2 linked regions of the Nothobranchius furzeri genome follow. The protein of the gene in region 1 purifies or fractionates together with the protein of each later gene. This does not show direct contact. Links are inferred from orthologs where the notes say so. Each region holds a gene or a part of one and is shown on either strand. Other genes may lie near its edges.

Region 1 (4,554 bases):
ATGCAAATCGTTCTTTTACACATCAGGCCTCGACTTCAGTGACGGGGATCAACTCGCCTCGCCGGGTTTCACAGAAGGATCGCCGACGGTGATGAAGTAAGCAGGAATACGGTGACCCCACCACAGCTGGCGAGAGATGCACCAGTCTCTATACAAGGATGAAGAATGGGGAACATTTAAAAACGACACTCATTTAGATGTTTAGAGGCCAAAAGTAAACAATTAGTGAGCATAACAGAAACTTAAATATCAAATCAATCATTTTGTTCTTTAATTCTAGTAAGAAAACAACAAATTTATATCTAATTGTGATTTATGCCCCCTATATAACAACATTACATACATGAATGCTTTCTCAAACAAAAATGTTCTAAAAACATCACTTTGTGTTACAATATTAAAGGGACTTAACGGAGTTTTGAATTTTTACGCTCGCGATTCCCCCCCTCAGGCCAAAAACATAACGACAGCTTCAATGGTAGGCTCGTGCACGAGGCGCGCATGCTGTACGTGCACACTCCTTAACGAAAATAACAGCTGAGACAGTCCCTTGTGTGAGTGTGTGTGTGTGTGTGTGTGTGTGTGAGTGTGTGTGTGTGTGTGTGTGTGTGAGTGTGTGTGTGTGTGTGTGGCCCAGAGGACAGGAGAACGTGCAGCTAATTAATTAAATAATTTGGTTCTGTACCTTTCTCTTCAGCACAGCCGACAAAGGTTTATGATGGGTCAGTCCTCCTGCATGCTCAGATCATTCCCTTCCCTTGCTTGAAAAATTGTTCCAAAATGAAAGTTGAACCCACATCTTTTTTATCTGTGAATTCAATGCCGTTCGGCGAGTCTCAAATAAAAATTTGGGCATCTTATTATTGTAAAAAAATATACCATTAATGTAAAAAAGGAACTCTAAATAAGCTATGTTCACACCCAGAATCGAACCCAGGACTTCTGCACGAGAGTCCGGCGTGTTACTAGGTGAGCTAAAGCATCAGTAACGTCCTTTGTATCTGTAACATTTATATCCTTGATGACAGCTGAAACAACGTTCAAAAAAACGATTTGGAGCGAAAATGGCTATTTTGTTGCTAATTTGCAGGAAATATCTAGAAGAAAGTAGCTAAGGGTCCTCAGAAATGTAGCTAGGTTCGTCACTAGGCGTTAGGAGTTGGCACCATCGACTGCCTCTCTCTCTGCTGCTAAAGCTACGGATAGCAAATGCTACGGGCTATGCCTGAGCGTGAACGTGCATGAAGCAGCCTGCTCGACCCGAGCATCTCTCTTTTTCTGTGATTTTACAGAAAAACAGGCAATCACAGTAAAAATGCCAGGGCTCATTCTACAGGACCAGGGCATTGCAGGAGAATGTATGAAGAAGAAATTTATTATTTCTATTCATGTTTTGGCTGTCAAACTTCCATAATGTCCCTTTAATACAAATTTTATTTTCACATAAATTTTCTAAAACTTGGAAAATACTTCCTATTACTACAACAAAAACTTGAAGCGTAAATATTTTAATAGCATCAGGAATCTTAAGTCCTTTGCTTTAAATTACCAACAAGTAAAAGGTCAACAAAAGAGATGAAAGGGGACGGGGACCTGATGTTGTCCATCCAGTTGAACCACGTCTTGAGGTGGTGGTCGGGGATGATTTTGAGCTTGCCCTCTCTGACGACATCTGCGGCCTGCTTACCCATTTCGGAGCAGTTCACGTACCACTGTGGCTTCAGCAGCGGCTCCACAATGTCCTTGGAACGACTGTTGGAGCAGAAACACGGATAAGCTTTATGTCTCAAACACATGCACCGAGTTCCATTTCTATGGATCTAGGATACAGACTTTGGTGCTTAAAACTCGTGTGTTTTGTGACACGTAACTTTGAGATGCGTATTTTGAGACTTGTGCTTAGAAACTTTTAATATCCGTAAGTCACTAAATGAAAGTTAAAGTATTTGACAAGCAATTAAAAATTGCACCCACATTTTCAAAGTTAACACACATTTCTTTTAATAATGGAAGTTTTTGCATCTTTACTGTTCCCCTGCTTCAGCCCTTTCCCCCCTTCCCCCGCACAGTGGCTGCATGGGTTTGAGGTTTGAAGGAGATCTGAACTGTATCATATATATGTATAAATGGTATCGAATGTATAAATATTACATGCTTATAAATTTTTCTTTTCAAACACTTTTCTGTCCTGTCTCTGTCTATTATCTTCCTGCAACCCCTCTCAATCCTAAAGAAAAACTGCTACCTGGCTTCATATATTTTCACCTCATGAGTTACCTTTGAACTAAAGTTCAAAAAGATTTTCCGACCGCAAAAATAGCGGAGTGTGTGCCGGCCGCAGCAGAGAAGTCACCAGAGAACAAAACCGGTGATGCGCTCCGCTCCGCAGCAGTGAAACGCATCAGGCACAAATTAAAGACAGAAAGCATAAAAGGAAGTGAGCAAACATTAACGGCCATGTGTTAAATATTTTTTGAGGTGACGACACTTTGAGAATGTTAATGTGGCCGTGCTCAGGACGCATCTGTCTGCGATCAGAGCTCTGCGCCTCTCAGCTCAAAATAATCTCCGGAGAGTCCACATAGATAATATAAGTAAAACCAGGATCTTTTTCATGCTACCCCATGGTGTGTAGGATGAGGGCCTCCAGGGGAGCCCGTCACCCTTTCGGGTGAGCCGGGCTCCCTTTAGCTCACCCGTAATTTGAACCCTGCGTATAACACAAGTTGGTCGTGTGAGTTGCCAGAACGGTCCTTTCAAAATAAGACAGTTCCCGGATCTTGTTCCGGCAAGATCTGGCTCAAATTAACCCCTGCTACTAAGCTAAAGTCAAATGCTACTAAGCTAAAGTCAAATGCTACTAAGCTAAAGTGAAATACTACCAAGCTAAAGTGAAATGCTACCAAGCAAAAGTCAAATGCTACCAAGCGAAAGTCAAATGCTACCAAGCGAAAGTCAAATGCTACCAAGAGAAAGTCAAATGCTACTAAGCGAAAGTCAAATGCTGCTAAGCGAAAGTGAAATGCTACTAAGCTAAAGTGAAATGCTACTAAGCTAAAGTGAAATACTACCAAGCTAAAGTCAAATGCTACCAAGCGAAAGTCAAATGCTACCAAGCGAAAGTCAAATGCTACCAAGCGAAAGTCAAATGCTACCAAGCGAAAGTCAAATGCTACCAAGCGAAAGTCAAATGCTACCAAGCGAAAGTCAAATGCTACCAAGCGAAAGTCAAATGCTACCAAGAGAAAGTCAAATGCTACTAAGCGAAAGTCAAATGCTGCTAAGCGAAAGTGAAATGCTACTAAGCTAAAGTGAAATGCTACTAAGCTAAAGTGAAATACTACCAAGCGAAAGTCAAATGCTACCAAGCGAAAGTCAAATGCTACCAAGCGAAAGTCAAATGCTACCAAGCGAAAGTCAAATGCTACCAAGAGAAAGTCAAATGCTACTAAGCGAAAGTCAAATGCTGCTAAGCGAAAGTGAAATGCTACTAAGCTAAAGTCAAATGCTACTAAGCTAAAGTGAAATACTACCAAGCTAAAGTCAAATGCTACCAAGCAAAAGTCAAATGCTACCAAGCGAAAGTCAAATGCTACCAAGCGAAAGTCAAATGCTGCTAAGCGAAAGTGAAATGCTACTAAGCTAAAGTGAAATGCTACTAAGCTAAAGTGAAATGCTACTAAGCGAAAGTGAAATGCTACTAAGCTAAAGTGAAATGCTACTAAGCTAAAGTGAAATGCTACTAAGCGAAAGTGAAATGCTACTAAGCGAAAGTGAAATGCTACTAAGCGAAAGTGAAATGCTACTAAGCGAAAGTGAAATGCTACTAAGCGAAAGTGAAATGCTACTAAGCTAAAGTGAAATGCTACTAAGCTAAAGTGAAATGCTACTAAGCAATAGTGAAATGCTACTAAGCTAAAGTGAAATGCTACTAAGCGAAAGTGAAATGCTACTAAGCGAAAGTGAAATGCTACTAAGCTAAAGTGAAATGCTACAAAGCGAAAGTCAAATGCTACTAAGCTAAAGTCAAATGCTACTAAGCTAAAGTCAAATGCTACTAAGCTAAAGTGAAATGCTACCAAGCTAAAGTGAAATGCTATCAAGCGAAAGTCAAATGCTACCAAGCGAAAGTCAAATGCTACCAAGCGAAAGTCAAATGCTGCTAAGCGAAAGTCAAATGCTACTAAGCTAAAGTGAAATGCTACTAAGCTAAAGTGAAATGCTACTAAGCTAAAGTGAAATGCTACTAAGCTAAAGTGAAATGCTACTAAGCTAAAGTTAAATGCTACTAAGCTAAAGTTAAAAGCTACTAAAGTTAAATGGTAAATGCTTATTGGTCTTGTTCGTACACAATCAGTCATCCACCCAGTCACAGGCTGGTGATGAGCTACAATGCAGCCACAGCTGCCCTCGGGCACACTGATGGAAGCGAGACTGCCGAACACTGGTACCACCGGTCCCTCCGGCCACCACCAGCAAAACTAAAATGTTACAAAATTAAAGCTACATGGTACAAAGCAAAAGTTATGTGTTAATTAACGATAGGTACATGAT
Region 2 (4,554 bases), on another chromosome or scaffold:
TTTTTTTTGTTGTCCAGAGGGAAAAAAAAAATCATGTTAAATTAAATTCATGATGTAATTGCATCTACTGAAGATCACATGGGTCATGCACCATGGAGTTATTATTGCTGCTCAACAGGTTGAGCGGGCTGTCCAGTAATCGGAAGGTTGCAGGTTCGATCCCGGCTCCGGACGGAGAATTCTGCTGTTGTGTCCTTGGGCAAGACCACCTTGCCTGCTGGTCCGGTGGCACCTGTGCTCGGCAGCTTCACTGTCCGTGCACCCCAGGGCAGCTGTGGCTACATCGTAGCTCATCACCCTCAGTGTGTGAATGTGTGTGAATGGATGAATGATACACTGTAGTGTAAAGCACTTTGGGGTCCTTATTCTGTGAGGCGATATACACGTACGGGTCATTTATCATTTAGTTATCAGGGCATACATGGCTGGAATCTAACAGTATTGGCTCATATCAGCGATTATACTGTAATGACTCAAGAGTCTCTGGTTGCTCTTTTATGAGTATTATTTTCGGGCTACTGTCGCCAAAACCCACGCCTTACAAACTTTAACTTTTTCAATAGAAGTATTTACTAGCATAGCAAACAGCGGAGAAAAAAACGGAACTTGAACAATTCTCCCCCGTCGAGTTCGCCTTCAAAATAAAACGTTAACCCTATAATTTACTATTCAAACCCTTACAATATGTTTGAGGTAGTTTGGCCACACTGACTATCCGTAGAAGTTTCCTGATTACACAGGGGAGGGAGGGGTTTGGCTCGTCTCTCTGGCTTCGCACAAGCAGGACAGAAAAACAGAATCCCGTTGGCGCTGAATGTGCCCAAATAATGAAAAACCAGGACGCCAAATGCAAAACTTAGAACAGCACATTTACCCAAAGGCTCTCAGATTGAGCAAACTTGTGAGAACACACACTGTATCGCTTAGAGACGGCGCAACATGTCGCTAGCATAGCGGCTAATACCTAGCATAGCAGTTTGACCAGTTTTATTGACATAAGTCATCTTGTATCTTGTTTAAATTTTTTTTATCGATGTTTTAAAAATATCGATATATCACCCAGCCCTAATTTGGAGTCCAATTGATGAAATTTAATCACAACATCGTAATCTCCACCCTGTCATTTACTTACAGTGAAGGCCAGATCCTGGCCTCTGAAGACCCAGATACCAGAGATGCTGCTGTCATTGTTGGTGCCAAACAAGATGACACTGGCGAAGGCGTTCTTCCTCAGTTTGTCCAGGCGTTGGAACATACCTGTGAAATTCACAGGTAAATCCAGTAAATCCAGTGTGAATACCAACATAAAGTCTGAGATTTACTGGGCAACGGTGAAAAGCTTATGTAAGCAGCAGTTAACAGTCAATCAGATCAACATTTGTTACCACAACTAGTGGGCAGTTAATAAGACTACACATTTAGGCATTTGGGCCTGATGTGACCACAGTATGAACCAGCCTAAACTCACTGAATCAGACATGGCTGGGATGAATTTGGGCCAACTTTTTCTTTCCCCGTCAGATTAAGACGTAGTGCCATCACAGGACACTGCCTTGCCCAAAGACAGGGGAGATGTCTACCCTACAGAATTATTTTTAGAATAAAACAATGTTCTACAGTGCAACTACCTTGGGATTGACAGGCAGAAACCATGGAGCACAATACAATACTTTGTTTTTAACACCATAGGTCTTGGGTTAGTGGAATAAAAAAGGACATTCATGATGTTAAACTTGAGGCTAAAAGAAGCAGTCAGTAAACCACAGTGGAATCAAGTAACCAGTGATTTCTAAAGCACTTTTATGTACAGCACTTAACACCATTCTTAACTTCAGCACAACTGCAAATCACAAGAATCAATCATGTCTTTATATCTTCACTCAGGCTGAAACAAATATTCAAATTCGATTGAATTGATTGCAAAACAAAATTGTAAAAAAATATAAATTGTATAACTCAGAAGTAATAATAAAAAGTGTTGAAAAAAAAGAAGAAAAAAAAATATATACATATATAATTTTTTTTTTCCTTTTAGAATCGACAATTATTACTTCTGGGTTATACAATCTCCTTCCAGTGTGACCTTTCGGTTATTAAACAAGCATGCTTGTTCTGCAACAGATCAAACAGAAGAGCAGGCAACAGGGTGAATGCAAAAGGAATGAAGACATCCAGAGAAAATGTCAAAAGTGTAGGACTATTCAAACTCAAGCTGATGGGACAAGATCGCTAGCTTAGCACAATTTTAGCAGTTCACAACAGCACAACTTCCACATCCCAGGAATCAGGATCACAGCACACAGCATCCAGGTGCTTTTAGGCATCAGCTGCAGATCTGAGACAAGGTGTGTGATTTAGTTTAAATGAAGATGAATGGTGCATCTCCAGCTACGCTAACGGGAGCTACCACTAAAAGCAAAGAAGTGCGTTATTTTTTCCCCTCTGTGCTTTAATGTAAGGCAGCATGAGACTAAAATGTGCTTGTCAGCTTTTTTTTAAGTACCCCATGCATGTTTTTAATTTCCAGTCATTTGTTTGGAACGCAGCAGTTTTAGAAAAGAACAAAAAAATAAAAATAAAACAAAAGACAAAATCAGACTTGTGATCAAATGGACATTTACTATTCTGTAGTTTATTTAGTCTTGTTGATAAAACAATCACCATTGTTTGCAGGTAAACTAAATTTCTTTTGTTTCAGGAATGGGCTTCAATTGCCAGAGTGGCTAAATCCATCCTCAGCTGAACATGCATCAGAGTCAACAGGCAGCAAATGAAAAAGAGCTGAATGCAATAAACTCTGTTATAGAAATAATCTGGTTATTGGCTAGTTTTTCCCACAACTAGTACTGCTCTGTTACGTTGGTACCAGATTTCCAAAGCAAAGGAAACAGAAAGGCTTATCTGATGAATTGATTGATTACTACTGTCTTATTACCGTGGCATAAGAATAGATTAAAATAATCATTATCTGCAGTCCTAATCTTCACATTACACCAACGCATACAATCAGCCCATCTGACTCACCTGTGATGAGGTTGCAGCTCTTGAAGGTAAGTGTGAGTTCTTCTGGGTATTTGTAAACACAATACCAGATGGAATACCCCTCACGGTCAAAGTTGTCCCAGAAGTGGGGAAGAGCTACTGTCAAGGTGTCCTCGTTGGAATATTTTCTTTTGAACTCGTCCATGACAAATGAGCTACAGAAAAATATGTATATATAACAGGTCACAAATGTGCTGTTGGAGAGGATTAATGTGTTTAGGTTTTAGTTTCCTTTCCATCATTAGCGTTTCTAAAGATCTCCTTTTCACCATCTTCTGAATTTATTTTCAGCTCCTCCATAAGTCGAGCTGCTCTTGAGATCAAGGAGAAATGTGGGCTCACTATGAACCAGCCTTTATTCTCACTAAAACAGAGATGACTGGGATGAATATGGCCCTCATTCTCTTCCCCTGTCAGATTAAGACTTTGTGTCATGAATGGACACCGCCTTGCCCAAAGACAGGGGACATTCATCACCTGAAATTAACTACTTTGTTTTAAAACTGTCAGTCTATGAATCAAAGACTCAATAACACATCAAATACCCAAAATGCACTAGATTCCATAGACATTTTCAGATTAATATATGCATCCAATTAAACTAAGCACATTTCTGTAATACACCACCCATATGTAAAACTAGAACTTCTGATGGCGCTGCTCACTACAAATCTTTACCTCTTTGGCAGATGTGCAAAGGGATCCTTTGCTTTGGGCTCTGCAGCCAAAACAGCATCACAGTCATCCATCTCCTCCTCAGGATCAGGCTTCTTCTCCTCCTTTTTCTTTTCTTTCTTCTCCTGGGGTTTGGCTGCCTCCTTCGCTGCCTTTTCCTTCTTGGCGGGGGCCTCTTTCTTTGGCTGCATCTCAGCAAACTTCTTAGCTAGTCAGAAGAACAGTTATCTACTCTTAAATCAGTTATTTACAACCATCTATGAACAAGGACGGTAGACTATTAGTGATTTATTTTGACTGGACAAATAAGAACATCTTAAGTCATACTACAGATCTGTAAGACCAAACTGATATCTGCGTTAAGTTTCAACTCGCAGTGCAGGTCCTTCTGACATCCTTTGATTACGAGTTTATTCTGAACTCACTGTTGAGGACTCACCATCAAACTGAGCCATCTTCTCACACAGCTTGACTTCTCCGAGAACTGCCTTGAACTGGGGCTGGTTTACACAGGTGACAAACCAGCGGGTCACGTTGGGATATGGCTGACGGAAGGAAGGTTCCAAGACCTACAGAGCAGAGAGGTTTCAGCTCTTCCCGAATTAAATATTAGAGATCAGGAGTGTGTGATTGGGTGCTTTGTGAACATCAAACCTGTTTGTAGAGCCAGACCATGGAGCAGGCCACAGTTATGTCTGCTAGGCTGACGCGCTCCCCTACAAGGAACGTGCGGGTGTTCAGATGTTGGTTCAGCAACCCGAGGACCTTCTTGATGTCCTCCTTGGCCTGCTCAGTTGCCTGTATGGACCAAAGAGACAGTTAACTTTAGGCAAAAAC

Evidence for each region. Proteins that work in one complex are often made in the same cells at the same time.
Region 2: the proteins of vars1 (region 1) and eef1g purify together in Homo sapiens (affinity purification with mass spectrometry; 6 studies listed by BioGRID and IntAct, counting the BioPlex papers as one, with this or other methods). This does not show direct contact. The link is inferred for Nothobranchius furzeri from reciprocal best matches to the Homo sapiens genes VARS1 and EEF1G.

What each region holds. Positions count from the first base shown.
Region 1 is NC_091745.1:74,530,069-74,534,622, reverse strand, and holds part of vars1 (valine--tRNA ligase), read right to left. Parts: intron 1,753-4,554; coding exon 1,594-1,752; intron 149-1,593; coding exon 58-148; intron 1-57. UniProt on the Homo sapiens protein: Catalyzes the attachment of valine to tRNA(Val).
Region 2 is NC_091741.1:90,855,077-90,859,630, forward strand, and holds part of eef1g (elongation factor 1-gamma), read right to left. Parts: intron 4,516-4,554; coding exon 4,372-4,515; intron 4,287-4,371; coding exon 4,157-4,286; intron 3,926-4,156; coding exon 3,721-3,925; intron 3,198-3,720; coding exon 3,025-3,197; intron 1,258-3,024; coding exon 1,133-1,257; intron 1-1,132. UniProt on the Homo sapiens protein: Probably plays a role in anchoring the complex to other cellular components.